Stegostoma tigrinum: one gene and its partner. The protein of the gene in region 1 interacts with the protein of each later gene in a pairwise test. Links are inferred from orthologs where the notes say so. Each region holds a gene or a part of one and is shown on either strand. Other genes may lie near its edges. The genes, in order: aamp and apoptosis-enhancing nuclease-like.

Evidence for each region.
Region 2: the proteins of aamp (region 1) and apoptosis-enhancing nuclease-like interact in binary tests that used the Homo sapiens proteins (3 or more experiments, as listed by UniProt). The link is inferred for Stegostoma tigrinum from reciprocal best matches to the Homo sapiens genes AAMP and AEN.

Annotation. Positions count from the first base shown.
Region 1 is NC_081360.1:104,051,543-104,068,138, forward strand, and holds the start of aamp (angio-associated migratory cell protein), read left to right. Parts: upstream 1-8,849; 5' UTR 8,850-9,294; coding exon 9,295-9,394; intron 9,395-14,886; coding exon 14,887-15,009; intron 15,010-15,622; coding exon 15,623-15,742; intron 15,743-16,596. Other genes in the region: si:ch73-71c20.5 (DUF4748 domain-containing protein), read right to left, coding at 1,384-1,576, 3,546-3,780, 8,807-8,843. UniProt on the Homo sapiens protein: Plays a role in angiogenesis and cell migration. In smooth muscle cell migration, may act through the RhoA pathway.
Region 2 is NC_081386.1:28,560,888-28,577,068, reverse strand, and holds the start of apoptosis-enhancing nuclease-like, read right to left. Parts: upstream 7,197-16,181; 5' UTR 7,087-7,196; intron 5,783-7,086; 5' UTR 5,753-5,782; coding exon 4,979-5,752; intron 2,722-4,978; coding exon 2,521-2,721; intron 1-2,520. UniProt on the Homo sapiens protein: Exonuclease with activity against single- and double-stranded DNA and RNA. Mediates p53-induced apoptosis.

The DNA of each region.
Region 1 (16,596 bases):
GGTCAAGCAGCATCTTAGGAGAACAAAAGCTGATGTTTCGGGCCTAGACCCTTCTTCAGAAATTGGGGAAGAGAAGGGGATTCTGAAATAAATAGGGAGAGAGGGGGAGGCTGATAGAAGATGGATAGAGAAGATAGGTGGAGAGGAGACAGACAGGTCAAAGAGGTGGGGATGGAGCCAGTTATATATTCTGTCATGGACTTTTAGACCGTAAGACATAGGAGTGGAAGTAAGGCCATTCAGCCCATCAAGTCCACTCCGCCATTTAAATCATGGCTGATGGGCATTTCAACACCACTTCCCTGCACTCTCCCTGTAGCCCTTGATTCCTTGTGAGATCAAGAATTTGTTGATCTCTGCCTTGAAGGCATCCAACGTCCCGGCCTCCACTGCACTCCATGGCAATGAATTCCACAAGCCCACCACACTCTGGCTGAAGAAATGTCATCTCATTTCAGTTTTAAATTTATCCCCTCTAATTCTAAGGCTGTGCCCATGGGTCCTAGTCTCCCCGCCTAACGGGAATAACTTCCTAGCGTCCACTCCTTCGAAACCATACATTATTTTGCCTGATTGTGGCTCAGTGTCACCTTCTAGTGGTTGTTAAACATATGACAACTTTTCAACTTCAACAGAATTGCACTTGACAGCATAGGCTGCTCACGGGTACTAAGAAAAACGAAGTTGCTGGAAAAGCCCAGCAGGTCTGTGAAGTAAAAAAAAGAGTTAATGTTTCTGGTCTGGTGACCCTTCCTCAAATGTGGGAGGGGGAAGGGAGTTCCAAAATAAATAATCTAGTTTTGATCTCCCTTCCCCCTCCCCCATTTCTGAAGTGTTCTGACCGGAAACGTCAACTTCCTGCTCCTTTGATGCTGCTGTGCTTCTCCAGCTCCCTGCTGTGTTATCTCTTGCAGCATAGGTTGTTTGGCACAATATTACAGTAACAGCTCCTTGTTATAACTCAACAAATCCAACTGTCTCTCCCCCTTCTCATAGCCCTTTATCTCGTCCAAACTAATCCCATTGCCCTGCTTGTCTTTCCCATAGCCCTGTATCAATCCCCAAACTAGTCCCACTACGTGATGGTCATAATGTACAACCATCGAAGATACAGAGCTGTCTTCCGACACACTTGTGCAGAAATTAGGTTGTCTGATAATTAGATGTCAGGTCAACACAAATATAAACTTTTCTCCTCCATCCCAGCACCCCCACTATCAAGAATATTCCCAGGATGTGGGGAAAAAAAGCCAAGTCCATAACTGAGTTTGTCCATTGAGTTTCTTTAATAATTTGAGAGTGGGAGAGACTGAAGACTGGCAGCCTCCCTGAGGGCAAGTGGGAAGCGAGAGGTGCTGGGCATTTTGACCATCGGCAGGGATTCTATGGTTTACTTTGTGAGGCGATGATCTGCCGGTCATGTTCCTCCAGCTTGGACTGGTATCGTTCACTCTGGTATTCGCCTTCATTGGCATTCTTTATCCTCTGCCTGATCTTCAACTGTTTCAGACGGTTCTTATCAACCTCTCGTTTAGCAAGGAGAAAGGTGATGATGCCGGATGGCAAACCAATTAACCTGGAGGAGAAACGAGCAGGGAAATGGGTAGGATTTACAGGACAATTTGAAAGCTGCCAATGTGAACTCAGCAGAACATAACAGCAAAAGCAGATAACAAAAGATAGCAAGTACTGGCCAGCTTCACTTACACTGACCCCTTGACAGACCCACCCTTAACTGGCTCACCTTAGTGCGGACCTGTCACTGTGTAACTGACCTGTCCAGTCACAAATGCCTATCAACCATCACTTTTTGCTTCTGTCCCCGAGCCAAATTTGGACAAAGCTGACACCTTGCTTCGGATTGCTTGTGATTTTAATTTTCTGGTCAGCACCCCTCGCCCCTCCTGATGTGGGACTTGATACAAAACTTCACAAGAACGAATGCAGGTGACATCAATCCTACTCACATCATTGAACTGAAATTGCTGGAAGAACTCAGCAAAACCAAAGAAGGGTCACTGAACCCAATACTTTGACTCTGCTTTCTCTCCACAAATGCTGACAGATCTCCTGAGGTTCTCCAATGAGTTCTGTTTGTATTTCTGATTTTCAGCATCCATAAATTCTTTGTTTTCTTTTATCCAGCTCATGAAACTCCCTTGTTACCTCATCGTAAAACCGAATGGAATTAGTCAGACAGGACCTTCCCTTCTCAAAGGGATAATTAGATGCTAGGTCAACGCAATGGCGAACTTTTCTCAAATCTGTCCTGATTGTTATTTGGAAAGACTGATCAAAACCAATATATGACATTAATTTCAAATATTGAGAATAATTAAGGTAGACTGATTGAGTAACTACAGGTCAATCTGTCCTTTTTCAAACAATAATGCAACACAGGTGAATTATCCACCTGAAACAGATGCTAAACACATAAATATTTCATTTGTTACTTTGCTTTCAGTATTCCACACTTCACTCTGTTCCCTGCTTACAAAGCACCATTTCCCTCAGTTGTAAAGACAGACTCTAGCAGGCCAAGGCCCCCTGTGATGACCTAGGCCTCTTTGTGCTGTCAGTGCCGTTGGTTCCCTTTCCTGTAAATTTTGTGCACCCACACAGACCTTGGTGTCAATCATTCAGAACTCTCTTCCTGAAAAGGTGGTGGAGGCAGAGTCTCTGTATCTTTTCAAGATAGAGGTGCCAAGCAATTGAGGTGAAAGGTTATTGGAGTTCGCACAGCTGTGGTTAAAGTCAAATCAGCCGTGACCTTATGGAATGGCCTACTCCCGTTCCTAATTCTTATGTCTACACAAATCTCCGTTATTGTGGACATTCACTTTAGTTGGTAATATAGAAAGGTGAGAGTGATGCCCCTCAAGTCCTGCTAAAGAAACAATGTTGTTAAACTTCAAAGGATTCAGAAATGACCCATAAGGATGCTGTCAGGGTTTAAGCTGTACGGAGAGGCTGAATCGGCCAGGAAAATACTTTCCCTGCAGCATCAGAGGCTGATGACCTTATGGACATTTATAAAATCATGAGGGGCATAGATAGGGTAAATAGTCAAGATCTTTTCCCCAGGGTACAGGTGTCCAAAACTAGGGAGCATGGGTTTAAGGTGAGAAAAGAAAAATTTCAAAGGGACCTAAAGGACACCTTTTTCACGCAGAGGGTGGTGTGTGTATGGAATGAGCTACCACAGGAAGTGGTGGAGGCTGGTATAACTAAAACATTTAAAAGACATCTGGATGGATACATGATTAGGAAGGGTTTAAGAGGAATACGGGCCAAATGCTGGCAAATGAGACTACATTCATTTTGGATATCGGGTTGGCATGAATGAATTGACTGAAGGATCTGTTTCCATGCTGTACAGTTCTATGACTCTTGGTGTGGATCAGTGAATTCAGACTGCAAGAGCCTTATGGCCACTAGAAAGCCTGCCATCATTGGCTTCAGATCACAAAGAACTGACGGGTGGGAACTGTGATGATCAGAACTGGTCTCCCCTCATCTTGTACTCACATTCTACACATTCTTACCAGGCCAGGCCGATCTTTCCCATTGGATTCTTGGCTCTCCGTTGTGGAATGTATTCTGGACCCTGTGGGATTGGCTTTCCAGGAGCCTCTTCTGACCGCAACACTGGTCTGTTGCCATGGTTACAGTGGATGGATTGTACACTGTTTCGCAGAACTGTGGCCACACAACTGTGCACTGGCAGGGGGGTGCCAGGGGCACAGGCCCCGAACTTGGACAAACAGCAGCTCCAAATGCCTGGAAAAATAAAGACAAATGGGTCAAGGTGATTGTTGAAAGGTAAATGAGAGCAATGCTGAGTCCAGGCATCACTTAGCCTGAGGCAGTGACACAACCAGAAACATGGTAGTAATCTGACTAATCTAGTGAAGCCACAGGCACAGGTGAACACTCTGGGTTCATGGGTTCAAACCCATTTACGGTCCCTGATGGAATTTGAATTCAATTAATAAAACTGAAAATGAAAGCTTGTCTCAGTGACTGTGAAGAGATTTCATTTTGTTATTAAAACCCATCTGTAGGAAGAATATTATTAAATTGGAGAGGATCCAGAAAAGATTTACCAGGATGTTGCTGGGACTGGAGGGTTTGAAGTGTAAGGAGACTTTTGTCACTGGAGCATAGGAGGTTTATAAAATCATGGATTTGGTCAACAGTTTTGAACTCTCCCTAGGGTGGGAGAGGTCAGAATTAGAGGGCTTAGGTTCAACGGGAGGGATGAAAGATTTAAAAGGGACCTGAGGGCCAACGTTTTCACACAGATGGTAGTTTGTATGTGGAATGAGGAAGTGGCAGACACAGATACAGTTAAACATTTAAAAGACATTAGGTACACGAATAGCAAAGGTTTAGGCTAAATGCAGACAAGTGTGACTAGGTCAAATTGGGAACAGGGTTGGCACGGACAAGTTGGACTTAAGGATCTGTTTCCATGCTGTATGACTGTTGCCGTACATGGTCCATGAAGAAGGGAATCTGCTGTCATTATCTGGTCTGGCCCACACATGAATGTAGACCCACAGCCATGAAGCTGATTCTTAACTACCCTCTGAATTGGCTGAGTAAGGCACTCCCTTCAAGGAAAATTAGAGACATGCAAAAAAGCTGGATATGTTAGCGAGGCCCACATGCCACAAACTGTCACCGTCATTTTCACACTCTCCCTCCCTTTGTCTCCTCACTACATTAAACCTCCCAGGAACAGCAGACTCCTAGCACCATAACCGATTGATCAGGTTTGACGTGTGCTTACACAGTAATATTTGGTCTGTAACTAAGATGGGGCATATACCAACTGAGCATCAGAATTGACAAGCTGTCTTGCGCGCTGTAGGTCCCATCAGCAATAAATAGAAAGGGTGTTGGAGAGCAAATTGGACTGATCATTGTAACCATCTACTCCACAATGTCAGCGAGCCTGAACACATCTCTCAATCTACATCCTGGGGGTTATCAGCATTGCAAAGGGATCATTCCCTGCACACAGTGGCAGGATTAACAACAACGTCAAGGTTAGGTCTGAGAGAACAGAGTTCAGCAAGTTCTGCAGTTGACAGGTGACAGTGAGTGAGGGGAGCAAAAAAATTAAGGAGTCTCATCAACAAGTAAGAAGACAGAGGGAGAGGACCAGGTGAAAGGTAGGGAGAGGACCAGGTGAAAGGTAAGAAGAGAATATAGGTCAAAGCATCTATGAAGAGGCCTCCTGTGTAAACAGCTGGACACAGAGGAGAATGCAATGGGACAAGATGTTCAACAACATTCCATGGTGATGTTTGTTGAGGTAAAAGATGAAAAGGAATAAATTGGAGTCCCTGAATTCTTCAGCAAATAACTCACCTCCTGACTCCCCAAAGCCTGTCCACCACCTACAAGGCATAAGTCAGGAATGTGATGCAATACTTCCCACTTGCCTGGATGGGTACAGCTCCAACAACACTCAAGAATCTTAGAATCACATCCACAAACATTCACTTTCTCCACCACTGACACTCAGTTTTAAGCAGTGTGTACTATCTGCAAACTGCTGTGCAGAAATTCATCAAAGATGCAGAGACCGCACTTCCAAACCCACGATCGCTTCCATCTAGAAGGACAAGGAGGACTGATACATGGGAACACCGGCCCCTGCAAGTTCCCCTCTGAGCCACTCACCATCCTGACTGGGAACTATATTGCCATTACACTATGTATAGTGAAACACAGAAAATAGGAGCAGCAGTAGGCCATTCAGCCCTTCAAAACTGCTCCACCATTCAATATATCAACAGCTGATCATCCAACTCAGCACTCTGTTCCTGCTTTCTCCCCATATCCATTGATCTTTTTCGCCCCAAGATCTTTACGTAAAAGGTACAGTGACCATAGTCCTCCCAGGCCATAGTACTGTCTCTCATTAAGACAGAGAGACAACTGATGGTGGTTTAACCTGAGAGTCACTATGCCTCATGTGAAGGGAGAGGTTGAGAAGCAGTGTTCCTCACAACAATAAAAAAAACCTGAATGAACTGTGGATGCTGAAAATCAGAAACAAAAACAGAAGTAGCTGGAGAAACTCAGCAGGTCTGGCAGCATCTATGGAGGGAAAGCTGATTTAATGTTTCAGGTCCAGTGACCCTACTTCCAAACTTCGGTTCATCACATTTGAAGGGAATTCCACAGACACATCACTGTGGGCAATGAAATTTGGTCCTAGAGATCTACAACACAGAAAAAGGCCCTTTAGCCCATCACGTCCATACTGGTCAAAAATAACCACCTCACAATTCTAATCTCATTTTCCAGCACTTGGCCCAGAGCCTTGTATGCCTTGGCATCACAAGTGCACATCTGTATATTTCTTCAATGTGATGAGGGTTTCTGCCTCTACTGCCCTTACAGGTAGTGAATTTCAGATTCCCACCACCCTTTGATTGAAAAAGATTTTCCTCACATTTAAGACCGTAAGACTTAGGAGTGGAAGTAAGGCCATTCGGCCCATTGAGTCCACTCTGCTATTTAATAATAGCTGATGGGCATTTCAACTCCACTTCCCTGCACTCTCCCCGTAGCCCTTAATTCCTTGTGAGATCAAGAATTCGTCGACCTCTGCCTTGAAGGCATCCAATGTCCCGGCCTCCACTGCACTCTGTGGCAATGAATTCCACAGGCCCACCACTCTCTGGCTGAAGAAATGTCGTCTCATTTCAGTTTTAAATTCAACCCCTCTAATTCTAAGGCTGTGCCCGCAGGTCCTAGTCTCCCCGCCTAATGGAAACAACTTCCCAGCGTCCACCCTTTCTAAGCCACACATTATCTTGTAAGTTTCTATTAGATCTCCCCTCAACCTTTCAAATCCTAATGAATACAATCCCAGGATCCTTAGCCGTTCATCGTATGTTAAACCTATTTCCGTGAAACCTTCTTGCCTCTTCTCTTAATGCTATGTCCCCCAGTCATTGATCCCTTGATCACTTCTTCGTGACCACTCGATATATGGCCCTCATAATTTTACATATCTCAACTATGTCCCTTCTCAATCTCCTCTGCAGGAAGATAAGTTAACCTGGTCTAGCAAGTTTTGAGAAGATTTGTATATAACTCTTCTTATATCTCTTCATAACTGAAACTGTCCAGCCCAGGCACATCCTGGTAAATCTCCTCTGCATCCTCTCCTGTGCTATCACATCTCTCCTACAGAGTGAGCTCTAGGATTGTACACAGTACTGTAGCTGTGGCCTAACCCAGGTTTTACACACTTCAAGCATCACCTCCCTTCTCTTATAATTGGCCTTGCCTTGGCTAATAAATACACGTTTATCATATGCCTTCTTGATCACTTTATTCACCTGCCCTGGTAACTTATGGGACCAATTTACATACCAAAGTCCCTCTACTTTTCAGTGTTCCCCAGCTGTCTTACCATTCATCGAGTATTTCCTTACCTTGCCTGTCCTGCCTCAGTGCACCATCTCACATTTCTTCTCACCTCAGTCTGAAATGGCCTACTCCGTATCCTTAGACTGTGACCGCCTGGTTTTGGTCTCCCCCACCATTTGGGAACATCCTTCCTGTGTTTACCCCTGTTAGAACTATCTATCAAATCCCACCTCCTTCTAAATTCCACTGAATATAATCCCAACTGATCCAGTCTCCCTCTATAACTGAATGTGTGATAGATACTCCCTGTTTCCCTAAGACGCCTCCTCCATGAGTGACCTTCCTCAAAGGGAGACGGGGATTTACCTCTACTACCAACCTCCGGATACAACGCATTATCCTCCGACACTTCCGCCATTTACAATCCGACCCCACCACCCAAGACATTTTTCCATCCCCTCCCCTGTCAGCTTTCCGGAGAGACTACTCTCTCCGTGACTCCCTTGTTCGCTCCACACTGCCCTCCAACCCCACCACACCCGGCACCTTCCCCTGCAACCGCAGGAAATGCTACACTTGCCCCCACACCTCCTCCCTCACCCCTATCCCAGGCCCCAAGATGACATTCCACATTAAGCAGAGGTTCACCTGCACATCTGCCAATGTGGTATACTGCATCCACTGTACCCGGTGTGGCTTCCTCTACATTGGGGAAACCAAGCGGAGGCTTGGGGACCGCTTTGCAGAACACCTCCGCTCAGTCTGCAACAAACAACTGCACCTCCCAGTCGCAAACCATTTCCACTCCCCCTCCCATTCTCTAGATGACATGTCCATCATGGGCCTCCTGCACTGCCACAATGATGCCACCCGAAGGTTGCAGGAACAGCAACTCATATTCCGCCTGGGAACCCTGCAGCCATATGGTATCAATGTGGACTTCACCAGTTTCAAAATCTCCCCTTCCCCCACTGCATCCCTAAACCAGCCCAGTTCATCCCCTCCCCGCACTGCACCACACAACCAGCCCAGCTCTTCCCCCCCACCCACTGCATCCCAAAACCAGTCCAACCTGTCTCTGCCTCCCTAACCGGTTCTTCCTCTCACCCATCCCTTCCTCCCACCCCAAGCTGCACCCCCAGCTACCTACTAACCTCATCCCACCTCCTTGACCTGTCCGTCTTCCCTGGACTGACCTATCCCCTCCCTACCTCCCCACCTATACTCTCCTCTCCACCTATCTTCTTTTCTCTCCATCTTCGGTCCGCCTCCCCCTCTCTCCCTATTTATTCCAGTTCCCTCACCCCATCCCCCTCTCTGATGAAGGGTCTAGGCCCGAAACGTCAGCTTTTGTGCTCCTGAGATGCTGCTGGGCCTGCTGTGTTCATCCAGCCTCACATTTTATTACCTCTACTCCTGGAACAGGTCCTCCCAGCTACTGCCATCTTGATCCTCCAGAATCCCGGCAAGCAGCGGGGAGCACGGCAACTTCCTCACGGCTCATGCGCAGATACAGCCGCTGGTGAGACGGGACTTCAAATTCACGATTCGACTTGATTTACTCCAACGGATGACACTTAGGAGCGATCTGGGAAGAAAGACTCCATGAGGAGGAATCAGAGACGGTTTGCCCTCCATCAAGGCAGGACTACAACTCCCAGGGAGTCCCGCGGCGTGTAGACGGAACCGAACCCCGGATATTCCTTTCCTCACGGTTGTCCGGGTGATACCGAAAGCCGGTTCTGGATTGGCTGGAAACGTTGTCAATCATACATTGACCTTCCGGTTGGTGAGTCGGGCCTCGACAGGGCGCCTGCGAAAAGCCGCCTGGTCAACATGACCGGGTTAAGTCAGTTAGTGTAACTAGGTGAGCGGTAACTAGGGACGTGAGGGAGAATGGAAGAGGGGGAGCTGAGCCCCCAGCTGGAGTTACACCAAGGCGAGGAGATTGTGGAAGTGATCGAACTGAATCCCAACCAACAGCCGCAGGAGGAGGGTAAACATAGAGAGGGGGAGGGGCGTTAATGTGTAGGTGGGGGGCGAACATGCGTAGGAGGGGGCGGGGGGGAGGCGTATGGGGGGGTGAACACGCGTAGGAGGGTGGGGGGCGACTTATGGGGGGGCGGGGGGGCGACGTATGGGGGGGCGGGGGGGCGACGTATGGGGGGGCGAACACGTATGGGGGGGGCGAGGGGGAGACGTATTGCGGGGGGGCGAGGGGGAGACGTATTGCGGGGGGGGCGAACACGTATGGGGGGGGCGGGGGGGAGACGTATTGCGGGGGGGGCGAACACGTATGGGGGGGGCGGGGGGGAGACGTATTGCGGGGGGGGCGAACACGTATGGGGGGGGCGGGGGGGGGCGAACACGTATGGGGGGGGCGGGGGGGAGACGTATTGCGGGGGGGCGAACACGTATGGGGGGGGCGGGGGGGGGCGAACACGTATGGGGGGGGCGGGGGGGGGCGAACACGTATGGGGGGGGCGGGGGGGAGACGTATTGCGGGGGGGCGAACACGTATGGGGGGGGCGGGGGGGAGACGTATTGCGGGGGGGGCGAACACGTATGGGGGGGGCGGGGGGGAGACGTATTGCGGGGGGGGCGAACACGTATGGGGGGGGCGGGGGGGAGACGTATTGCGGGGGGGGGCGAACACGTATGGGGGGGGGCGGGGGGGAGACGTATTGCGGGGGGGGGCGAACACGTATGGGGGGGGCGGGGGGGAGACGTATTGCGGGGGGGGGCGAACACGTATGGGGGGGGCGGGGGGGAGACGTATTGCGGGGGGGGGCGAACACGTATGGGGGGGGCGGGGGGGAGACGTATTGCGGGGGGGGCGAACACGTATGGGGGGGGCGGGGGGGAGACGTATTGCGGGGGGGGGCGAACACGTATGGGGGGGGCGGGGGGGAGACGTATTGCGGGGGGGGGGCGAACACGTATGGGGGGGCGGGGGGGAGACGTATTGCGGGGGGGGGCGAACACGTATGGGGGGGGCGGGGGGAAGACGTATTGCGGGGGGGGCGAACACGTATGGGGGGGGCGGGGGGGAGACGTATTGCGGGGGGGGGCGAACACGTATGGGGGGGGCGGGGGGGAGACGTATTGCGGGGGGGGGCGAACACGTATGGGGGGGGCGGGGGGGAGACGTATTGCGGGGGGGGGCGAACACGTATGGGGGGGGCGGGGGGGAGACGTATTGCGGGGGGGGCGAACACGTATGGGGGGGGCGGGGGGGAGACGTATTGCGGGGGGCGAACACGTATGGGGGGGCGGGGGGGAGACGTATGGGGGGGGCGGGGGGGAGACGTATTGCGGGGGGCGAACACGTATGGGGGGGGCGGGGGGGAGACGTATTGCGGGTGGCGAACACGTATGGGGGGCGGGGGGGGGAACACGTATGGGGGGGCGGGGGGAGACGTATTGCGGGGGGTGAACACGTATGGGGGGGCGGGGGGAGACGTATTGCGGGGGGCGAACACGTATGGGGGGGCGGGGGGGAGACGTATGGGGGGGGCGGGGGGGAGACGTATTGCGGGGGGCGAACACGTATGGGGGGGGCGGGGGGGAGACGTATTGCGGGTGGCGAACACGTATGGGGGGCGGGGGGGGAACACGTATGGGGGGGCGGGGGGAGACGTATTGCGGGGGGTGAACACGTATGGGGGGGCGGGGGGGAGACGTATTGCGGGGGGTGAACACGTATGGGGGGGGAGACGTATTGCGAGGGGTGAACACGTATGGGGGGGGAGACGTATTGCGGGGAGACGTATTGCGGGGGGTGAACACGTATGGGGGGGGAGACGTATTGCGGGGGGTGAACTCGTATGGGGGGGGGAGACGTATTGCGGGGGGTGAACACGTATGGGGGGGGGAGACGTATTGCGGGGGGTGAACACGTATGGGGGGGGAGACGTATTGCGGGGGGTGAACACGTATGGGGGGGGAGACGTATTGCGGGGGGTGAACACGTATGGGGGGGGAGACGTATTGCGGGGGGTGAACACGTATGGGGGGGCGGGGGGGAGACGTATTGCGGGGGGTGAACACGTATGGGGGGGCGGGGGGGAGACGTATGGGGGGGGTGAACACGTATGGGGGGGCGGGGGGGAGACGTATGGGGGGGTGAACACGTATGGGGGGGGCGGGGGGGGTGAACATACAGAGCGGCGGGGGGGAAATGTATCGGTGGGGGTGAACATATGGAAGGGCGGGGGGGGGAGATGTATTGGGAGGGACAGACGTACACACAGGAGATGTGCGGGGGAGGGGGGTGTGATACCTGGGGGAGGCGGGGATGAAGCGCACAGAGGGGCAGGGGCTAGATGTATCGGTGGGGTGGACGTACACGTGGGAGATGTGCGGGAATGGGGACGTGAAGTGCGCAGAGGGGCCAGGGCGAGATGTATCGGGGAGGGGGGTGCGTGAAACGCCCAGAGGAGCAGGGGCGAGATGTATCCTTGGAGGGGGGTTGTGAAACGCCCAGAGGGGCAGGGGCAAGATGTATTGGTGGGGGGGGGGGGGTGGACGTACACGGGGGAGATGTGCGGGGAGGGGGCCGTGAAGCGCGCAGAGGGGCAGGGGCGAGATGTATCGGGAGGGGTGGACGTACACGGGGGAGATGTGCGGGGAGGGGGCCGTGAAGCGCGCAGAGAGGCAGGGGCGAGATGTATCGGGGAGGGGGGGGTGCGTGAAACGCCCAGAGGGGCAGGGGCGAGATGTGTCAGCGGGGTGGACGTACACAGGGGAGATGTATGGGGAGTGGGGTGTGAAACGCACAGAGGGGCAGGGGCGAGATGTGTGGGGGGCTGAATGTACGGTGGCGAGATGTATAGGTGAGGGCTGGTGAACGTATCGAGGCGTGGGGCGTGATGTATGGTGGGGTAAGCGTATTAGGGGGAGATATATCAGGAAGGCAGTGTGAAATGCGCAGGGGCCGGGGGGTATGTATCGAGGCGGGGGTGAACGTATAGAGGGCAGGGGGAGATGTATTGGAGGGGTGAACGTAGTAGGGGGAGATTTATAGGGACGGCAGTGTGAAACGCACAGAGGGGCAGCGGCGAGATGTATGGGGGGGCGGGTGGGTGAAACGCGCAGAAGGCAGGGGCAAGATGTACGGCGAGGGGGGCGTCAAACACAGAGGGGCAGGGGCGTGATGTATTGGGGGGTGGACGTACACGCGGGAGATGTATTGGGAGGTGGTTGTGAAACACACGGGCAGGGGCGAGATGTAAGGGGGGTGAACGTACACGGGGGAGATGTATGGGGAGGAGGGCGTGAAATACACAGAGGGGCAGGGGCGAGATGTATTGGGGGGGTGGACGTACACGCGGGAGATGTATTGGGAGGTGGTTGTGAAACACACGGGCAGGGGCGAGATGTAAGGGGGGTGAACGTACACGGGGGAGATGTATGGGGAGGAGGGCGTGAAATACACAGGGGCAGGGGCGAGATGTATGGGGGGGTGAATGTACGGTGGCGGGATGTATAGGTGAGGGCTGGTGAACGTATAGAGGCGTAGGGCGTGATGTATGGTGGGGTGAGTGTATTGGGGGGAGATATATAGGGAAGGCAGGGGGTATGTATAGAGGAGGGGGTGAACGTATAGAGGGGCATGGGGAGATGTATCGGGGGGTGAACGTACACGCGGGAGATGTGCGGAGAGGGGGCGTGAAACGCACAGAGGGGCAGGGGCGAGATGTTTGGGGGAGGGGAGTGAAACGCACAGAGGGGCAGGAGCGAGATGTATGGGGGGGTGAACGTACATGGGGGAGATGTATAGGGGAGGGGGGTTGAAACGCACAGAGGGGCAGGGGCGAGATGTCTGGGGGGCTGAATGTACGGTGGCGAGATGTATAGGTGAGGGCTGGTGAACGTATAGAGGTGTGGGGCGTGATGTATGGTGGGGTAAGCGTATTAGGGGGAGATATAGGGAAGGCAGTGTGAAACGCACAGGGTCAGGGGGGTATGTATGGAGGACGGGGTGAACGTACAGGGGGCAGGGGGAGATGTATCGGGGGGGTGAACGTAGTAGGGGGAGATTTATAGGGACGGCAGTGTGAAATGCACAGGTGGGCGGGGCGAAATATCTAGGGGAGGGGGGTTTGAAACGCACTGAGGGGCAGGGGCGAGATGTGTAGGGGAGGGGGGCTTGAAACGCACTGAGGGGCAGGGGCGAGATGTGTAGGGGAGGGGGGCTTGAAACGCACAGAGGGGCAGGGGCGAGATGTGTAGGGGAGGGGGGCTTGAAATGCACAGAGGGGCAGGGGCGAGATGTGTAGGGTCGGGGGGGTGAAACGCACAGGTGGGCAGGGGCAAGATGTATAGGGGAGGGGGGCTTGAAACGCACAGAGGGGCAGGGGCGAGATGGGTGTCAACACATGGCTGTGATATACAAGTGAGAGACAGTGCAGGAGACGTGCTCAGATCTGGGTGCATGGTGGATTCTAGTGGGCAATGTACTCTGGGTGTAATGGAAAGTGCTCGGGCTATGGGGGCAGCATGACGAAGAGAGACTAAGTGGGGTGCTTGGGGAGTCTGATGTACTGTTACGCTCAGCGTTACCTGAATGTGGGGCTTGATGAACCCAGGAGCTTCTCATTATGACCATGCAACAACACTGTGTCATGACTCAATTGTGCTCAAAATCATGCATTCTTTAGTTGTTTGCAAGTGTGATGTACTAGAAGCACTAGTTCACTGTTGAGGTTGGTTGGCTCGCCAAGCTGGTTTGTTGTTCCGCAGACGTTTCGTTACCGTTACTGCTACGGAGGAAACCCCAAAGTGAGGCAATCCATCGCAACGGACCCCAGAGTTTAAAAGCCAGGCGGGAAAACACACCGACACTTCATCAGAGGCTGCACAGGGGATGTTACCAAGCACGGTAATGAAACGTCTGCGGAACAACAAACCTCAACACCCACACCCTGAGCTACAGATCTACTCCAAAACCTTAGGGCTAGTTCCATGTCATGTCACCTGTCAGGGTGATCACAAGAACTATCACTTGAGCCACCTGTTTGTAGTGCAGATACACCCACACCTACCACAGCAATGGGTTTAAAAAAAAAGTCCATGGAATTTGGGGCATCACAAACTGGGCCAACATTTATTGCCCACCCAAATTGCCCAGAGGGCAGAGCTTTGGGCCTGGAGTCACTATAGGTAGATGTCAAGTACAGCAGGTTTCCCACCCTAAAGAACATTGGTGAACCTGAAGTCTTTATATATCAATCAACAGTGATTTCACAGTCACCATTAGGGCAGCTCTTTGTTTCAGGCTTTTGTTATCAAATTCAAATGTCACCATCTGCCACAGTGTGATTCAAACTCATGTCCCCAGAACATTGTCTTGGCGTTCAAGGTGATTAGTCCAGTGATGTTACCCCTGCATCATGATGTCTGGTTGTCCCTCTGATTCCTACAGACTGTGATGTGCTAAGATATGAATCAATCTTCTGACCTTTTCATCTCCACATCTCTGGCCAGATGACCTACTGAATGATGTGGAAGAAGATGATGATGACGATGATGGGGAATGGGAGACCGAAGATGATGAGAACATGGAGGTGGTACGAGATGACAGTGATCTGACTTTCTCCAGGCACACAAGTAACTGAAAAGTTTTTATGTGGGACGTGGAGCTGCTTACTTGGGTGGGTACTGCAGGGTGGAGTTGGGTGGAGGCAATGTAGATATTATCTCAGTCAAATATTTGAGGACCTCTGGGATGTTTATCAGGTGAATCTAACTCTACAGAATATCGAGTTTCTCCAGGTTCTGAAGAAGTCATGTCAGACTCAATGTTAACTCTGGTTCTCTGTCCTTAGATGCTGCCCAACCTATTGAGTTTTTCCAGCATTTTATTTTTATTCCAGATTTCCAGCATCTACGGTGTTTTGGTTTTATTTGGTTTTGTTGGTAGGCTGCATTTTGCACCATCTCCTCTGTTCTCCTCGGAGAGTCCAGTAGAATTCCTGCTCATATTTGTTATCTGGTGACTACTCAAGAGCCTGTTGGATGCTGAAGGAGGGCTGAATCTGATGAATCAGAATCCCACTGAGCACTTGTGCTGTTTGGAAGGACTAATTCATGAGGCAATTTCCTCATTTGGGTTGACTGGGAACTCCTGTGGTGCTGCAGTCCAGAGAATGGAGAATTGATGGGAGGAGAGAGGAGGCATAAAATGAGCTAATGTTAAAGCATACATCCTTGTTATTTCCAGAGGCAGTATTCTGCTTGAGTTTGGACCCGAAGAGTAATTCGTTGGCAGTGACTGGTGGTGAGGATGATACAGCCTTTGTGTGGAGATTGGCTGATGGTGAGGTGCTGCTAGAATGTACAGGTAAGTATTCTAAACAGGTTCAGACCTCTCACCTCTACAATGGTGCTGTTCATTGCCAGAGAGAGTACAGAGGGAGCGCTGTGCATGTCAGATGGTCAGTATTGAGGGAGCGATGTGCTGTCAGAGGCTGAGTGCTGTGGGAATGCCATGCATTCGGAGGGGCCAGCACTGAGGAAGCGCCACGCTGTCAAAAGTTTCATGGTCTCTATCACTGAGATTTTAAATGTAATTTGCTTTTTAAGAATGAACTTACTGCATAGGTAATAGAGCAGCTACTAATGAGTGGAATATGTGCTAATTGATACATGTGGACTGATTTTCTGTATTAAGAGGAATTGGGTATAAAGGAGAGTAGACTAAAGTTTGTATTGAATTATGAAATGTAAATAAGTGTGGAAGACTGATAGAGTCCTGCTTTCTGGTTTGGAAAATGATTGACCAAAAATGAGATAAATCTAGCTTTCAATTCCAGATTTATTAATTGAAGTTTCACCAGCTGCCACTTTGGACTATTAGACTGGTGATATTACAATTATACCAACATCCTCCTCCAGGCTCCTGCTCCTGCTCCTGTTACTAAGAACACAGACAGCTCTGTGATTTTATTGAAAGCATTGGAAGGTTGTCTACTTAAATTGTGTAGGAGAAGTTTGTAACATAGAATGGAATAATTTGAACAATTTCTCATCTCATTTAATGTTTGTCCTTTAAGACTGACTGCGCTCAAATTAACCACAATGATTCTGTGACCGCTCATGGTTGTAATTGACTAGAAACAGGGACGGGTGAAGACCTGTCCAGCTGCTTCTAAATGATAGAAATTTTGGCTTTCTTTAGTCAGAATATATGATTTA
Region 2 (16,181 bases), on another chromosome or scaffold:
CACTCCCAGATCCCTTTGTACTTTTGCCTTATGAATTTTCTCACTGTTTAGAAAATAGTCCATGCCTGTATTCTTTCTTCCAAAGTGCAAAACCTCACAGTTGCTCACGTTGAATTTCATCAGCCATTTCCTGGACTACTCTCCTAAACTGTCTAAATCTTTCTGCAGCTTCCCCACCTCCTCAGTACTACCTGCCTGTCCACCTATCTTCGTATCATCGGCAAACTTCGCCAGAATGCCCCAGTCCCTTCATCCAGATCATTAACATATATAGCGAACAGCTGTAGCCCCAACACTGAACCCTGCGGGACACCACTTGTCACTGGTTGCCATTCCGAAAAATAGCCTTTTATCCCAACTCTCTGCTTCTGTCAGACAGCCAATCCTCAATCCAAGCTAGTAGCTCACATCGAACACCATGGACCCTCACCTAACTCAGCAGCCTCCCGTGAGGCACCTTATCAAAGGCCTTTTGGAAGTCTAGATAGATGACATCTACTGGGTTTCCCTGGTCTAACCTACTTGTTACCTCTTCAAAGAATTCTAACAGGTTTGTCAGGCACGATCCTCCCTTACTAACCTGACGCTGCACTTCCAAGAATTTAGAAATCTCATCCTCAACAATGAATTCTAGAATTTTACCAACAACTGAGGTTAGGCTAATTGGCCTATAATTTTCCAACTTTTGTCTTGATCCTTTCTTAAACAAGGGGGTTACAACAGCAATTTTCCAATCATCTGGGACTTTCCCAGACTCCAGTGACTTTTGAAAGATTACAACCAAAGCCTCTGCTATTTCCTCAGCCACCTCCCTCAGAACTCTAGGATGTAGCCCATCAGGGCCTGGAAATTTATCAATTTTTAGACCTTCCAGCTTTTCTAGCACTTTCTCTTTTGTAATGCCTACTATGCTCAACTCTGCACTCTGAGTCTCCTTAATGACAGCAAACCAAGGAGAAAATCATTTCCCTGACACCATTCCTAATAAAATCACCCACCTCTGTCCCCGAAGTCCCAACTGACAGAGCACAGATCCACAACTGCAAACAAAACCCACCATATACATTACCTTATCCAAGGGCTCAATTCACATACATAAGTTTTGAGAAGTGGCAGCAGGCACTTCAACTATGAGGGGCACCATGTAAAATCTTACACTGTTCTCACCAGACATACGCAACTCTACAGATACAAGCAGCAGGAATGGAAGCCCCCTTGGCTGACAGGCCCAGGTTTTAACTTGATCAGGAAGGGAGTCGGGGAAACATCCTGCAGAATTCATGGCTGAACGGATCCGATTTCCCAATGGAGCAAAAATGCAGATAGATTATCAACATGCTCTCTAATTTTCTTTCTGGCTGTAAAGGCCTCTGAAGTCTGCGCTTGGCAGCAACCTCCATAACCAGAAGCTACAACTGCGATTGGAGTGCTGGATGCCTATCGTGGAACTTTAGAACTGCTGCGCCTGTGTGTGCAACTGCGCAGATTAGAGGGAATCTTGCATGTTACGTAAGGCCAGTAAGTTCCCCGTGCATTCTGTCGATAACACTCGTCTCTGAGCTTGTAATGTGTTCGAGCCACCCTAGGAGCGAAATACAAAATCAAGGCCCACATTTCAGTGCAGTAGCAGAGATAATCCATGTCGGAGGTGATGGAATTTTATCAGTGGGTTTGGGAGCGAGGAAGAGAGTTGAGAAGTTAGAAGAAACTTTGTCTAGTTGTTGTGGTGGATGTACTATCTGGCAATTACATTTACCCAAATGCACTTCAACAGTAACCTGCCGTGAAAAGACCAAACTAAGATTTTGCAAGCACAACGTAAATGCAAGGTTTTGGTAAAGTCTTGACAAGACCATACCCAAAATCTTGGGCTCCTTAATTAAGGAAAGATATACTTATCATAGTAAGTGTGCAATGAAACTCATCCTTGGGAGTGTCCTATGAGGAGAGATCGAGAAGGCCTGTCCTGTATTCTCTAGAATTTAGAAGAATGAGAAGTGATCTAACTGAAGTATACAAAATTCTTACATGATTTAATAGGCTAGATGCTGGAAGCATGTTCCCCAGGCTGGAGGGATCTAGAACAAGGGGACACTATTTCAGAAGAGGTAGGCAATTCAGGATAAAGAGAAGAAGAATTTCTCCACTCAGAGGTGGTGAACCTTTAGAATTTTCTATCCTCAAAAGCCAGTGAAGTAATTCAGTAGACTCACTGAATCCCACCAAGATAAATAATGAACTTCTAAACTTTAAAGTCTTCAAGGAATGTGGGGTTACGGCAGGAAAATGATGCCAAGTTGGAAAATCAGCCATGACTGAGGGGCCAAATAGCCTATTCCCATTTCCAATATTCCTGTTGAATTGTGCAATCAATGCACATGCTGGGGGAGTATAGCTAAGGCAGAACCCAAGGTTTACTGCCACATGGATGTTGTGTGTGTTCCAGCTCTGATGCACCCTCAGTCCCACATTGTGGAACAGAACTCCCAGAGTAAACGTATAGTCAGTTCATATACTCACCTGGATGCTTTTACCCAAAAGTTGCTTCGCCAGATTCTTCAGGGATACGGATTCTCTTTCAGGAAAGCCAGCCTTCCGCTTCAACAATGGGATCTTACTCGTGTCCCTTACCAGAGATGTCGGATGAAAATACTTCAGTGCTTTAAAGTCATTGTGCAATGCGTGGCCCACAACAATTTTACCCTTCAGTATCTTCAAAATCTAAATGAAAGCACAGATTTAACATGTTTATTACCTTTCAGATTTACTAACCCTGCTTGCACCCCACCCCTGTCATGCACTATTCTAACTGAGCTCACGAAGACCCAAGACCAAAAGTAGGCCACTCAAATCCATTGAGTCTGTTCCACCATTAGATAACAATATGGCTGATTTGATAATCCTCAACTCTACTTTCCTGCCTTTCACCCCAGTACCCTCTGATTCACTCCCTCAGAGAAGAAATTCATCCTCATTGGTCTTAAATGGGTGATCCCTTACTCAGCGATTATCATGTGGAGGTGCCATGTTGGACTGGGGTGGACAAAGGCAGAATCATACAACACCAGGTTATAGTCTCAGCGCTGAAGAAGGAGCAGTGCTCCAAAAGCTGTGATTTCAAATAAACTTGTTGGACTATAACCTGGTGTGGTGTAACTTTGGATTTCAGCGATTACACACTTTTGTCTTGGATTGTCCCAAAAGCAGGAACGACATCTCCACATCTACTACGTCAAGTTCCCCTAAGAAGTTTGGGCACACGATGGCTATTCCTGCATTGTCACTAGGTGAAAAATCCTGGAATTCTCTATCTAATAACACTATAGGTGTCCTTTCACCACGCAGACAACAGTTCAAGACAGAGGCTGATCTTCCTAAGAGAGGGGGAATAAATAGATATTGAGAGTGACATCCCCCAGAATGAATGTGCTTTTAAATTGTATCCACGCAGATGTGTCATCAGACCTGGGCAAAACCCCTGCAGGCTGAAAATGCCCAGCCATAATCACGTCCTCTTCCTTCACCACAGCTGTACTCCAATTCTACCTCACATACAAGGGAAGTCACTATAAATGAGAGGTGATGGCTTGGTGGTATTATCGCTGTACTGTTAACCTTGAGACCCAGATAATGTTCTGGGGACCCAGGTTCGAATCCCACCATGGCAGATGATGAAATTTGAATTCAGTAAAATAATTGGAGTTAAAAATCTAATGATGACCAGGAATCCATTGTTGATTGTCAGGAAAAACCAATCTGGTTCATAACATACTTTAGGGAAGGCAACTGCCATACTTACCCAGTCTGGCCTACATGTGACTCCAGACTCACAGTAATGTGGTTGACTCTGAAGTTGGGATGGGCAATAAATGCTGCCGAGCCAGGGACATGCTCATCCCATTAATGAATAAAAGAAAATTACTCAAAATACAAAACCCCTCGAAACTTGCAAAGTGTTATGGTAGTACTGACACCAAATATAATTTTTCTTAATAAGATACAAGGTTTAATTGTTTTATGGGAGTGGTGTGTCTGCAGTTTGTCGGTTGCCTGTTAGTCACATTGGAGTAGGTTTATTGGTTTGACTAGAATAGGTACATTAAATCTGTTTTTTTGCTCTCTGCTCGTAGATGATGCTTGAGCTGGTGAATTTTTGCAACTTTTTTGTTTTTATTTCATATTTTGATAACAAGTTCTATTACATCATCAGATATGGTTGAACCAAACATTATTTCTGGCAGTTTTCTGGAATTGAATCAACTCTCAGAATCCGTGGGAACCTGCAATTCTCAAATGTTCTCCAGTTAAAGGAACCCCCTTTTCAAACATCAATTTCAATCCCCCTACCCTATAACATCTAAAGTACAAATCGTGAGCATCATAAAGATACGAAAATAGAGCACATACAGATCGTTTTAATAATGCTTCTGATTCAAATCCTTACTGTCAGATATCAGTGAACTGGATGTGTCTACTTCATACTGCAGGACCTACCCATCATGGCTGGAACAGTGATTACATGAAATACATTAGGGAAGTAACAGGGTGAGCAGCAGCATTTCTGTGATCACCGCTCACTGCTTCAGCTTTGATAACATGCCCCAGGGAACTGCAGGTCTGTAGACCCAGCAATTTACAGAGCTTACAAACAATGTGACAATGAGTAGATACTCTTGCACAGTAATGCTAATCAAGGGATAAAAATTGGTCAAGACACTGGGGTCAAGTTGGTCAAAAAAATAGTTAAGATACACCTCGTCCTCTGCAAAGTAGTGTTCTGGGATTCTCTGCATACAACCCCGCACCACAAAACTTAATCGGGATCTCGGTGTAATGTCTTACTTGAAAGACAGGTTGTCTTTCAGCACTGCATAAGGGATGTTAGGCCAGAGGGAGTGAGTGATGAATTCATTAATTCCAGACTAAGGGATAATGGGTATTAAGTGAATGCAACATTCAACATGTTTAATACACCCACCTCCCTCCGAGCAACATTGAACTCAATTGCGTTCACCATATGCCATTTTCGAATGCCACTCCAGCGGGTCCGATAATCCGTGATGGGTTGTTTAGGCTTCACATACTTGTCATAGATGACTAGGCCCTGATAGTTCACGATGCTACACCTGGCCATTTCATTAACACGCCCACAGGGGCCTGTTCCAACCATCTCACAGTCAATTGCCACATACTTGGCAGGATTACAGCAGATGGGTGACAGACTTGTCTGGCACAGGAGTGCAGCTTGTGGCAGCCCATAAAGGTCCTCAGGATTCAGCAGATTTCTCCTTTCTAAAGGACAAGTTTTATCACTCTGGTCCATGAACTTCGAAGAGCAAGTAGAGTGAACATCTCTCCATTCAGCTTCAGGCCATGGACTGGAAGCACCAATCAGATGGGACTGATCTCCATTCACATCAGAACCACCTGATCGCGTGGCATCTCCAGACTGTAGTGTATAGTTTGGGTTACTGATGCTCGGACAGCTTGTTTGGTTCAAAGGTCGCTGCTTCCTTTTCATGTGACCCTGCTTGAGAATCCCTTCCTTCTCCAGGAAAGCCTTCCTCTCCAGGAAACGCACATGCCTCCGGCTTGGTATCTTCTTGCGCTTGGTCTGGCCATCGGGGCTTGCAGCCACAGGTGAGCAGCAGAGGAACTGGTTTAACCTGGAAGATGCAGGGAGCAGCCTGAAGTCTGTGACTTCAGAAGAGGGTACAGCAGGGTCTACACGCATGCTAACTACACTTGGCATTCTTTAGTCCAAATGGAGACTTCTTGGAATCTGCAAAATCAACACAAGTCCCTTAAATTAAGTGGAGACTCCTAGTAATAACAAGTTATCAGTCCCCTGAGTTTAGAAGGAAACAGTCAATGCATATTAATGAATCTCAGCACAGGTAAGTTTAATATTTTTCATCATCAGGCTCTGCCAGATAGTGATTTAGACTTCACTAATTTGTTGCCAGAACTTTCACATTATTACCAGGCAAGAAGCTTAGGTTTCATTTGTGGATTTTAGTACATAGTCCACACTGACACATCAGTGAAGTACCGAGTGATAAATCGTCTGAAATACCTTCTTCAGCCCATCCCCCCAACCGCCTGTTCAGACAAAAGAATCATGTGGCATTATTTAAGGGCAGGGGACAGGAATATACACACTACTTATTATCTCTCAAACAATACAATCCAAAACATTAACTGGTCATTTCCCCCAGTGATTATTATGCAACTTTTTTGTACTCGTTCATGAGGTGTGGGTGTCATTGGCTAGACCAGTATCTGGCTGCCCAACCCAAACATTCCTCCAGAAGATAGTGGAAAGGCACTATCCAGATGTGTGCAAGTCATAGCTGAGCAGATGCATCCAAAATGCTGCTTACGAAGGAGGACTTAGGGTTTTGACTCAGCTCTGTTTGACAACATTTAAAATGTGAATCACAGCCGAGGGGCTGGCATTTACACACCATCTTTTTCAGAAACTGACGACAGTGCCGACGTTCTCGGCGCTGACACCCTGACAGTGCGGCACTCCTACACTGATCAGCAGAAAGCCATTCGGCCCCTTGGGACACTGCCATTATTTACTAAGATGCTGGTTGATCTGTGACCTATATCCATTGGCCCACATCCTTCAGTACGTTTGGGGGGGGGGGGGGGGAACAAAATCTATCACAGACATAAAATTAAAACCTGATGCAGCATCCAATGCCGTTTGTGGCAGAGAGTTGCGAACCTCTACCACCCTCAGGGTGTGGAAATACTTCACGAAATCTCTCCTCAAGGGTCTGGCCCCTGCTGTCAGGATATGCCCTCTCGAAAAGGAAGGGTCACTGGACCTGAAACGTTAACTCTGACGTCTCTTCACAGATGCTGCCAGACCTGCTGAGCATTTCCAGCAACTTGTTTTCAACTCCCTCTCGAAGATAATTTATTTCTACGTACCCTGTCATTTCTGTTAGTAACTGATTTATTTTTTTTCTTAATCCACGCTGTCATTTCCTGATCTTGATCAGATCATCCTCTAACCTTGTAAATTCAGGAGAGAGACAGGCCTCTGCTCCTAAATTAACCCTTGAGCCTTACCGTGCCTCCGGGACGAGGATTACGAACCGCGAGCCTTGAAGACTCGGTGGCGTACAGCAGGCCCCGCTGGTAGCCGGGAGCTCCCCCCGACCAAACATCCGGTGTCAACGCAAAGCCCCACACTCCCTCAAACGCCGCTCCACCGGCTCCGGCTTCTGCCACATGCTTTCCAGGCTCCGCCCGCTCATTGGTTTAAGGTCTCCACTCGCCGATTGGCCTCCTCCGACAAATCGAACGCCGATTGGCCGCGGTGCCACAGTCACTGCACGATGATTGGTTATCCCTCAACCCCGCCTTCCGATTGGACGCCGTGCCAAGGTTACTGAATGCTGACTGGTCTTCTTACTTACCCGCTGTGCCGCCGCAGCTGCATGCTGGTTGGTTAGCCCTCAATTTCGCGCTCCGATTGGTCTCCGTGCCGCGGCTACTGCGCACTGATTGGGTAGCACCCGATGCCGCTCTCTGATTGGACGCCGTGTCCCACACAGTTGATTGGTAAATGCATCTCAGCTCCGTGCACGACTAGTGAGGAGCCGTCACGCTCAATGCCTTCTGATTGGCTGAGCTGAATCTCCTGGATTCCCATTGGCTATTGTTCACCGTCGTCATCAGGTTCGTTACGTCAGGCGTGGATTTTTTTTCTGGTCCCTGTTGTCAGGGAGAGGGCGGAAAGGCCATCTCTCACTGCTCAATAGTCAGTCACATTGGTGTGGGTCTGGAGTCAAGTATTGGCCAGAGCAGGTAAGGGTGGCCGATTTCCTTCCCTAAAGCGCATTAGTGAACCAAGTGGGATTTACTTGACGGTGGTTTCACAGTCATCATTAAATTCTGAATTCCGGATCCCCTTTTATTTCATTCAACATCAGACGTGATGGGATTCGAACCCAGGACTCCAGAGCATTACCTTGATGTCTGGATTAACACTCTAGCGATAAGACCACAAGGTCATTAGCATCGTGGCTGCTCCATGACCGGTCTCGGTATAGCTGCCTTTGGCCAATATGCTTTAATATCTCTTTTGGGGGAATTTTTTTTTAAGTGTACAAAGGGGCAAGAGGGAAATCCGAGAGGCACCTGAGTTGCGCACAGCGCCGCCAGCGGCTGGAGGCCAAATGGGGTGGGGACGGGCTTTGGGGGTCACATGGAGGTGAGGGCAAGTTTGGGGGTCGGACCAATGGCAGCTTCAGTGTCAGGTAGGTGCTGAGAGTAGCCTTGAGGGTCAGGCCAGGGACACTGACTGTAAAGTCTTCGTCAGTCCCTCTGAGGTTGAGAGATCCACTCCAGAGTTGCAGGTCATGAGGTGATTCACAGCCCAGTGCTGGATCTGCATACCTTACCATGGCAGGGTCATCTGAGTGTTGAAGAAGCTGGCAGGATGCTTGGATTTTAACATGCTTCCTCCACCGTTTGGGCTTGTCGGAAACATTCAAGATCTTAAACACTTTCTTGAATGCTTCTCCCACTGGAGTGAGAGAGTTCCATGGAGCTGCCATTGTTTAGTTCAGAAGAAGGGTCATGTCAGACTCCAAATAGTAAATCTTGTTTCTGTCTCAACAGATAATGCCCTAGATCTGCCGAGTTTCTCCAGGATTTTCCATTTTTATTGCAGATTTACAACAGCTAAAGTATTTTGCTTTTATTTTGTAGAGATGCTCATTTAGAGACCTGGCACTGTAACAAGTTTGTGATTCACTGACAAAAACATCAAGCAGACTGCAGTCTTTTGTACCTGAATTGCTGATTGAAACTCTGTTAACATTGATTTCTGCTCCAAAAAAAGTTTGAATTTATAAGACCATAAGAAATAGGAATAGGACTAAGCTGTTAAGCCTATCAAGCCTGGTCCACCATTCAGTTGAACCGTGGCTCATCCAACACTCCTCATGTCCATTTTCCTGCCCTTTCCTCATAATCCTACTGATCTGTCGGCTTAATAGTTGATAGCTGTCTTCAGCAAGGTGTTCCAAAGACCCTCAACCCTCTTAAGTGAAGAAATTCTTCGTCATATCGGTAATAAATTGGCATCTATTAATTTTGAGACTATGCCCATTTATCTTAGACTCTGCTATAAGTGGAAACATCCTCTCAACATTTACCCTGTCAAAAAGATTTACAAAAACAGGATGTTACTGGGACTGGAGGTTTTGAGTTTTGAGAAGGAGCGGATGGATAGAATAGGAGTTTTATTTTCCTGGATCATAGGAGGTTGAGAGGTGACCTTATAGTGGTTATAAAATCATGGTGAAGAGCAAAGGTCTTTACTCCAGGGAAGAGGAGTTCAAAAGTAGACGGCATAATTTTAAGGTGAGAGGAGAAAGATTTAAAAGGGACTTGAGGGGCAACTTTTTCACACAGTGTGGTTCAAATCCCGAACTGTCATGAAGAGATAGATGCAGGTGCAGTTACAGCATTTAAAAGACATTTAGACAGGAACATGAATGGGAAAGGTTTAGAGGGATATGGGCCAAATGCAGGTAAATAGTACAAGTTTAGTTTGGGAAATGTAGTCGACGTGGACAAGTCAGACCAAAGGGTCTGTTTCTGTACTGTATGACTCCATAAAATTCCCTTTATTTCCCACAACAACGGAAGTAGTCCATTCAGCCTCTGAACACGCTCTGCTATGCAGTTGGATTTGTGTTGACCTGTGTGTCAACCTAATTTACTGCAATTTGATTCACATCTCTTACTGCAACAATCCAGGTACATTTTTATTTACTTCTCAAACGTCTGTGTGCCTATTGCTTAAAACCAGTTCATATGAAGCAGTGGGACGCTAAAGATTTTGGACAGTAGATGTCACCATTGTACAGCTGGTACTGTAGATTTTTCAGTTTTTCACATTCTACCCTTTCTATTCACACATTCTGCAACACACACACACACACATAAAAACATACAGTTCTTAATATTTTTCATTTCCCCTTGCGGTCTTGACGTTACAATTTTTGACAATTGCCTGGCTACATGGTTTAAGATGGGGTGTACATCGGGTCCAATAAACAGCTAGAGGGGATTAAAAACAGTTAGAGAAAGAAGTAATACTTGGAAATGAATGTACTGATCACTTTGGAGCTCCATTTTAATGTGTGCAAGGTGAGTCAGACCACCATATATCATTTGCAAATTTTACTAGTTTTCTCTTCTACAGGGCTGGCTGTGCTCAGACTGGGAAGCCATGTTTTCTGTTTCTGCCCCTGCCTGGCTACATTTGATGCATTGGTCTGCCAACACTTTTTTTTAAAAAGTGCATTAACTTGCATTGAAATAACACATTTAATGCTGTACAGCAAAATGTGTCAAACCGCTTCTCAGGTGTGCTATCAAATGGCATTCGACGTTGTGTCACATGTTAGGATAGGGAGCAATAGTTTTGTTAAAGAGGCGGGTTTCAAAGGGTGTTTGAAAAGCAAAGAAAGATGTGGGTTTGTGGAAAGGTTGAGGGAGGGAACCCAATGATTAGGGCCTAAGACATTCTCACCAATCATGAATGGATGGAAATCAGAGATGTGCAAGAGGGTCAAAACTGGAGGAATGCAGGCACCTCAAGACAACTGAAAATTCCCCCGATTAAATATTGCAAAATCTGAAGCATTGTTTTCAGCTCTTGCTGCAAAATCCATTCCCTGATTAGTGATTTGATCCTTTCTCAGGTGTGAGATTCAGTCCCTCTATTCACCAAACAAACAATTAAAACCTGAAAAATACAACAGGTCAAGGAAATCTGCTGAGGAAAAGAAGAGTTAATGTTTGAAGCCTGAGATGGTCCCAGATGTGAGATGTTAACTCTCTTTCCCTCTGCAGATGCTGTCTGACCCACTGAGCTGTTCCAGGTTTTGTGTTCGAGTCCCTCAGTTTTTTTCTCTTTGCATGCATGATAGGCTAAATGGTATCTTCTGCATTGTAATAACTCAGTGATTCTGTGATGAAAAGCACCATCTAAATATTTCCTAATCAATCTGTGGAGATGCTTTTAGTATACACCTCTGGAACAGGTGGGGCTTAAACCCAGGTATTCTGATACAGGGGTAAGGACATTTCACTGTGTCATGAGAGCCCTCCTTGTGAGTGGCACCACATCAATGAAAGTTTTTAAACTTGTTTCAGTGGACTGATGTTGAATTGCCAATTGAAAGTGACAAATTTAGCACAGACTTGGTGGTCTTTTTGTTTGAGATGGCTCAGATACTCACTGCTTTTGTTAGCCTGAGCTTGTTTCTTTTCCCTCCCCCTGTAGAATTCCAACATCAGAGGTATCCCTTTCATCAGTACAGATACAAATATGTTTTGGTCTACACTCAACACTGATTAAAAGTCTAACTTATTTTTCTCACACCCTCTATAAATTCCCTGGACGTTGACTTCTTAATTTAACCTTTTGCAACCTATGATATTTTATAAAAGGCACGCAACACCTTTTAACACCTGTAATGAGTTTTCCTTTGCTTTGTGAGTAATAGGGTTGGGTCCCTTTATATGAGACATCACCACGGGTCTAATTGTAGATTGCTTTCAACACAGTTGAAATAGTGTATAATTACTGTCATTTGGGATTCAGAACAGATAGAAATGAAATTTCAGTGACTCGTAAATTTAAAATATGATTCTATGCAGTCAGAGGGTCCCTGGGGTTCAGGCGTAGTAGTTATCCCAATTTACAATTGAAGCAAGACCACACCATCTTCCTTTTTATGAGTGGAAATTGAACATATGAAATGATCAAACCATCCTTTTTGCATATTAACCATAAACATTTCATACAGTTTTAAAATTGATACCTTTCTTTATGAAAGTATAATTCAGTCTAGCATTCAAAGTTCCAAAACAGCATGGATGTCAGCGAAGAGAAATTAAAAAGAATTACTTAAAACAAAGTATAAATTACTGATTTGGACTCTGCCAGAGGGCTCGGTTTCTGGTGCAGAGCCTTAAGATTAGACCCTCAGATCCAGCATTGAACAGACACATGCTATCTACCTGTATTCTTGAAGCCTTTAATTTCCATTCAGATTTGATCACTCCAGTTTACTAATTCAATGTAATTTTGAAGAACAGAGCCTGCACAGTCCCTACTGCACCAGCATGTCAGCCTAGACATTTGTGCCCAGGTATCTGGGACACATCTTGAAGCATTCTTTTGACTCAAGGCAAAAGTAACTGGTACCCCAAACTCACAGCTGATGAACTAATGTAAAATATTCCAAACATTGGAAATCTGAATTGAAAATGCCAAAAATACTCTGGGACAGGCAGTAGGATGGAGAGAGAAACAGGGTTAATATTTCACATCAGTGATGAAAACTAACCCACCTGAAGTGTTAACTGACTTTCTTGGAAAGTGGGATTTTTCAACACGCACGCCATTTATAGCCCATCCTAAGTTGCTGATGAAAATGTGAACATAAACCATGTTATTGAACCACTGCTGTCTATGTCCTGAAGATACTTCTGCAAATCTGAGAGTTGGGGAATTCCACAATATAGACACAGTAGTCACAAAGGAACAGGAAGTATGCTGTGTAACTGTAAACAAACCAAAATCCCAACATACATCAGTCCCTTCAGGAACACAAAAGAAAAAGTGGGAGATGGCGGATTGTAACATGGAAACTAGAAGCAAGAGAAAGCCATTCAATTTGATCATGGCTGATCCTTCATTCAATTGCTATATTCCTAAACTCTGCCCATTCACCTTAATGTCTTTAAAATCTAAAAATCTAACTCTTGTGCACCAAATGGAAAATGTTTACAATGAGAAACCCAGACTGACATTTCAGTGCAGTATTGAGGGAGTGCTGCATTGTGTTTGAGGACCATTCTTTGGATGAAACATTGCTGAGGCCTTAGCTCCTAGTGCACATGAATGTGAAAGATCCCGTGTCACTATTTTGGAAGAAAACAGGGTGTGCTCCCCAGTGTCCTGCCAATACTTATTCCTCAGTCAGTATCACAGAAAAATCTTATCTGGATGTTAACATGTTACTGTTTGTATGAGTTTTCTGTGTGAATTTGTAATTGTAAATTGGTTTTTGCAATTTCTGCATGATGTCAGTCTTCGAAAATAAGGCCCCTTTAACAAAAAAACGCTCCAAAGTTGGTTGAGAGCAGGCAATGCTCATTGGACTTTTATTTAAGAGTTGAAATCTCCACTTCCAACTTTATTTTGATTTAGCTGCTTCTGTCTTTCTCCTTTGATGGTCTACATTGCCCTAAACAGGCTTTGCATGTAAATTAATCAGTTGGAAAACACAAGTGATTTACTGCTGGTGGGTTAACACATGGGAAAATATAGCGAGCGATTCAGTGATAGGCAAGAAAAAGTTCACTTGTATATGAGAGTGCTTCTGGATATATAAAGAAAGAAAAAGAGTTGAAATCTTCATTGCGCATGTTGGGCTTTGCGTGTAATTTGATTGGTTAGAAATAGGTGATATATTGATGGTGGATAATAGAGGAAAAGTACCATGGATGATTTGGTGGTGGGGAAAAAAATGCTGAATTCTTCCCCACTGGGGTCTTGGCTTCTGGACAGGTAAAGTAGGGAAAGTTGTATTTGTACTAAGCTTTGCATTTACAATCAAGCCCTTTTGCTTCACCTGTATCAACATATGGATATTGACTTGTTAAACACATAGCAATGCTGACTACACTTCATACCCTACTCTGAGAAACTCCTTATTCGTGAACCTCCAAGAATCTGTGATTCCATGTTGGACCTGCCAAGTCACCTGAGCACACACAAATCATGATGCCCAGCAGATATGGGACTCACTTCAAGTGATATATCTGGTGGCAGAATCTAGGGAACAAAGAGACATAATCTTAAAATAAGAATGTGGCCATTCAGGAATAAATTAATTGAGGGGATGGTGAGAGTATGCTATGAGGAAAGATTAAATTGACAGGCCCTTTATTCTGTTACGTTTAGAAGGATGAAAAGTGATCTTCATTCAAAGTTATTACAGGATTCTGTTATATTTGAAGTTAATTTAAATCTGCACCAGTGCTCACGATTTCATACTTGGAGTGAAGCTGAGTCTGCATCTCACCACGTGGTAAATTCTCCACCATCTTCTTTTAGACTGAGTAGATACTTATTCTTAATTTGATGGAGAAAAACGTTTCCCAATCCACCTAGAAGAGGCTCTTGCATTGAACAAGAACTAGCTTAGAGCATAATAAGCAACTAATAACGAGTTACATTGATATGACAGACGTTGTTACAGAGACTACAAAGTTGTACGAAGATCTTAAGCTGTTCTTCCCACAAGTCCATTTGGCATCACATTAGTAGGTGGGCTTATATCACCTCTCTGATTTAACCCTTTTATCAGACCCTATACAATGGGCTCAACAACGTAAATGCAGTATTTTTCCTCTGACTGTTAAGTCTAGAATCAAGGGTCACAGTCTCAGAAAAAGGGACATGACATTTTGGACGGAGTTGAAAGGGAATTCTTTTACTCAGAGGTCAATCTTTGAAATGAGTTGCCACTGGAATTGTGGAGGATCAGCTATCAAGTATGTTCGAGACAAGATGTGTGGATTTTTGGAGAAAAATAATGGCAGTGCATTTTGTGCAGGAAAGTGTTGAAGCTGATCAGCCATGAATATTGAATGGTGGAGTGGACTTAAGCAGCTGAATGGCCTACTTCTCTTGATTGTTGTGTTTTAAGTAGAGAAACAGAATAGACCAGACAGCCCATGAAATAACTTTTTTCATGCAAAGTTAGTTAAAATCTAAAACAGTCCCATCCTCAGGATGTGAATGTTAAAGATCAAACTGAATACTGAAAGATGGAATTTTTTAAGAAGTAAAATTATTGAGGTACATGGATTAAATAGAAAGCCAGGTATGGATCAATCGTGGACGACTTGTGCAGCCAAGCAGCCTTGTAAGGTGATTGGCCTCCCCGTTTCCACAACCACTTCCTAGATTCACTTGAAACTTAGTATCAGAGATAATCATCCAGCCTCACATCTTGTTGTCTTGATCACTTGAAACTTGTCGAGTGCCCGCCTTCTCGAGCCCGCAATGGGTAATTTCCCAACTGTCAATCACACTCTAGCTTTGAGGATTGGTCAGATTCACCGTCGATCAATGTTTCTCTGCTCCGCCCTGCCTTTGTTGACAGGCGAGGCCCAGCCCAACAGTCAGTTTCAGTCTTTCCCCTCAATTGTACCCGTTCGCTTTTAGAAAGATACATTTCGATGGGACTCCTGCACTGAATACTCAGCCCCAGCCGTAAGTAGCAGTTTTAACAGAAAACAAGAAGAGTATTTAAAACCTGTGCATTTTATTTTAAATCAAGGCGAATCAAGATTTTTTGTGGAGGGGTGGAACCAATCCCCGTCAGTTACCTCGCTGTACTCGGATGGGCGACCGGAGATTTTTGACCCTGAGGCTGTGGTTTCAGATTTATTATTTAATCTTATGGCACCAGCAACTAAAATTAGATTTATGGGTTTATTTAGAGTGTAGGGACGGAATGTGCAGGGATTGAACACGGTGATTTTCTTTGTTTATTTTTAAATCATTTGACGTTTCTTACCCCGATACTGCCTTTTGATCATTCAAGTCTTGTCCATATGATTTAATATTGATGTGGTCTTGGTTACTGGGGAAAAGTGAAGTTACTGCTGTTTTGGAAGAGCTAGGATTATGGCAATCGAAAATAAATATTCCCATTTTTGCAAAACAGCTATGTAACCGCCAAAATGGGTGTGTTTGAGAAATGTACGATATAAACGACGGGGAAGGTGTCATTCCGCCGGGGGCCTATCATTATTGCTTCAGTGACGATTTACTTATCTCCGACTGCTTGGTCAGGAGGTCGGAGCCGAAATAGTTACTGAAATTTCGTTCATAATACCTATGGTGTGAACTCCGGTGGACATTGCATGTATCTTTTACACACACGACCCCAGGGTGGATGCAGAAAAGATGTTACCCCCGGTGGGAGAGACCAGAACCGGGGAGATAGTGTTTTTTTAAAAACCCTCCCATTTAACATGAAGTTGAGGTATTCTGCCCCCTCATTAGTCTTGAAATTCTCTTCCCCATGAAGCAGTAAAACCATTGTTACTGAAGTTAT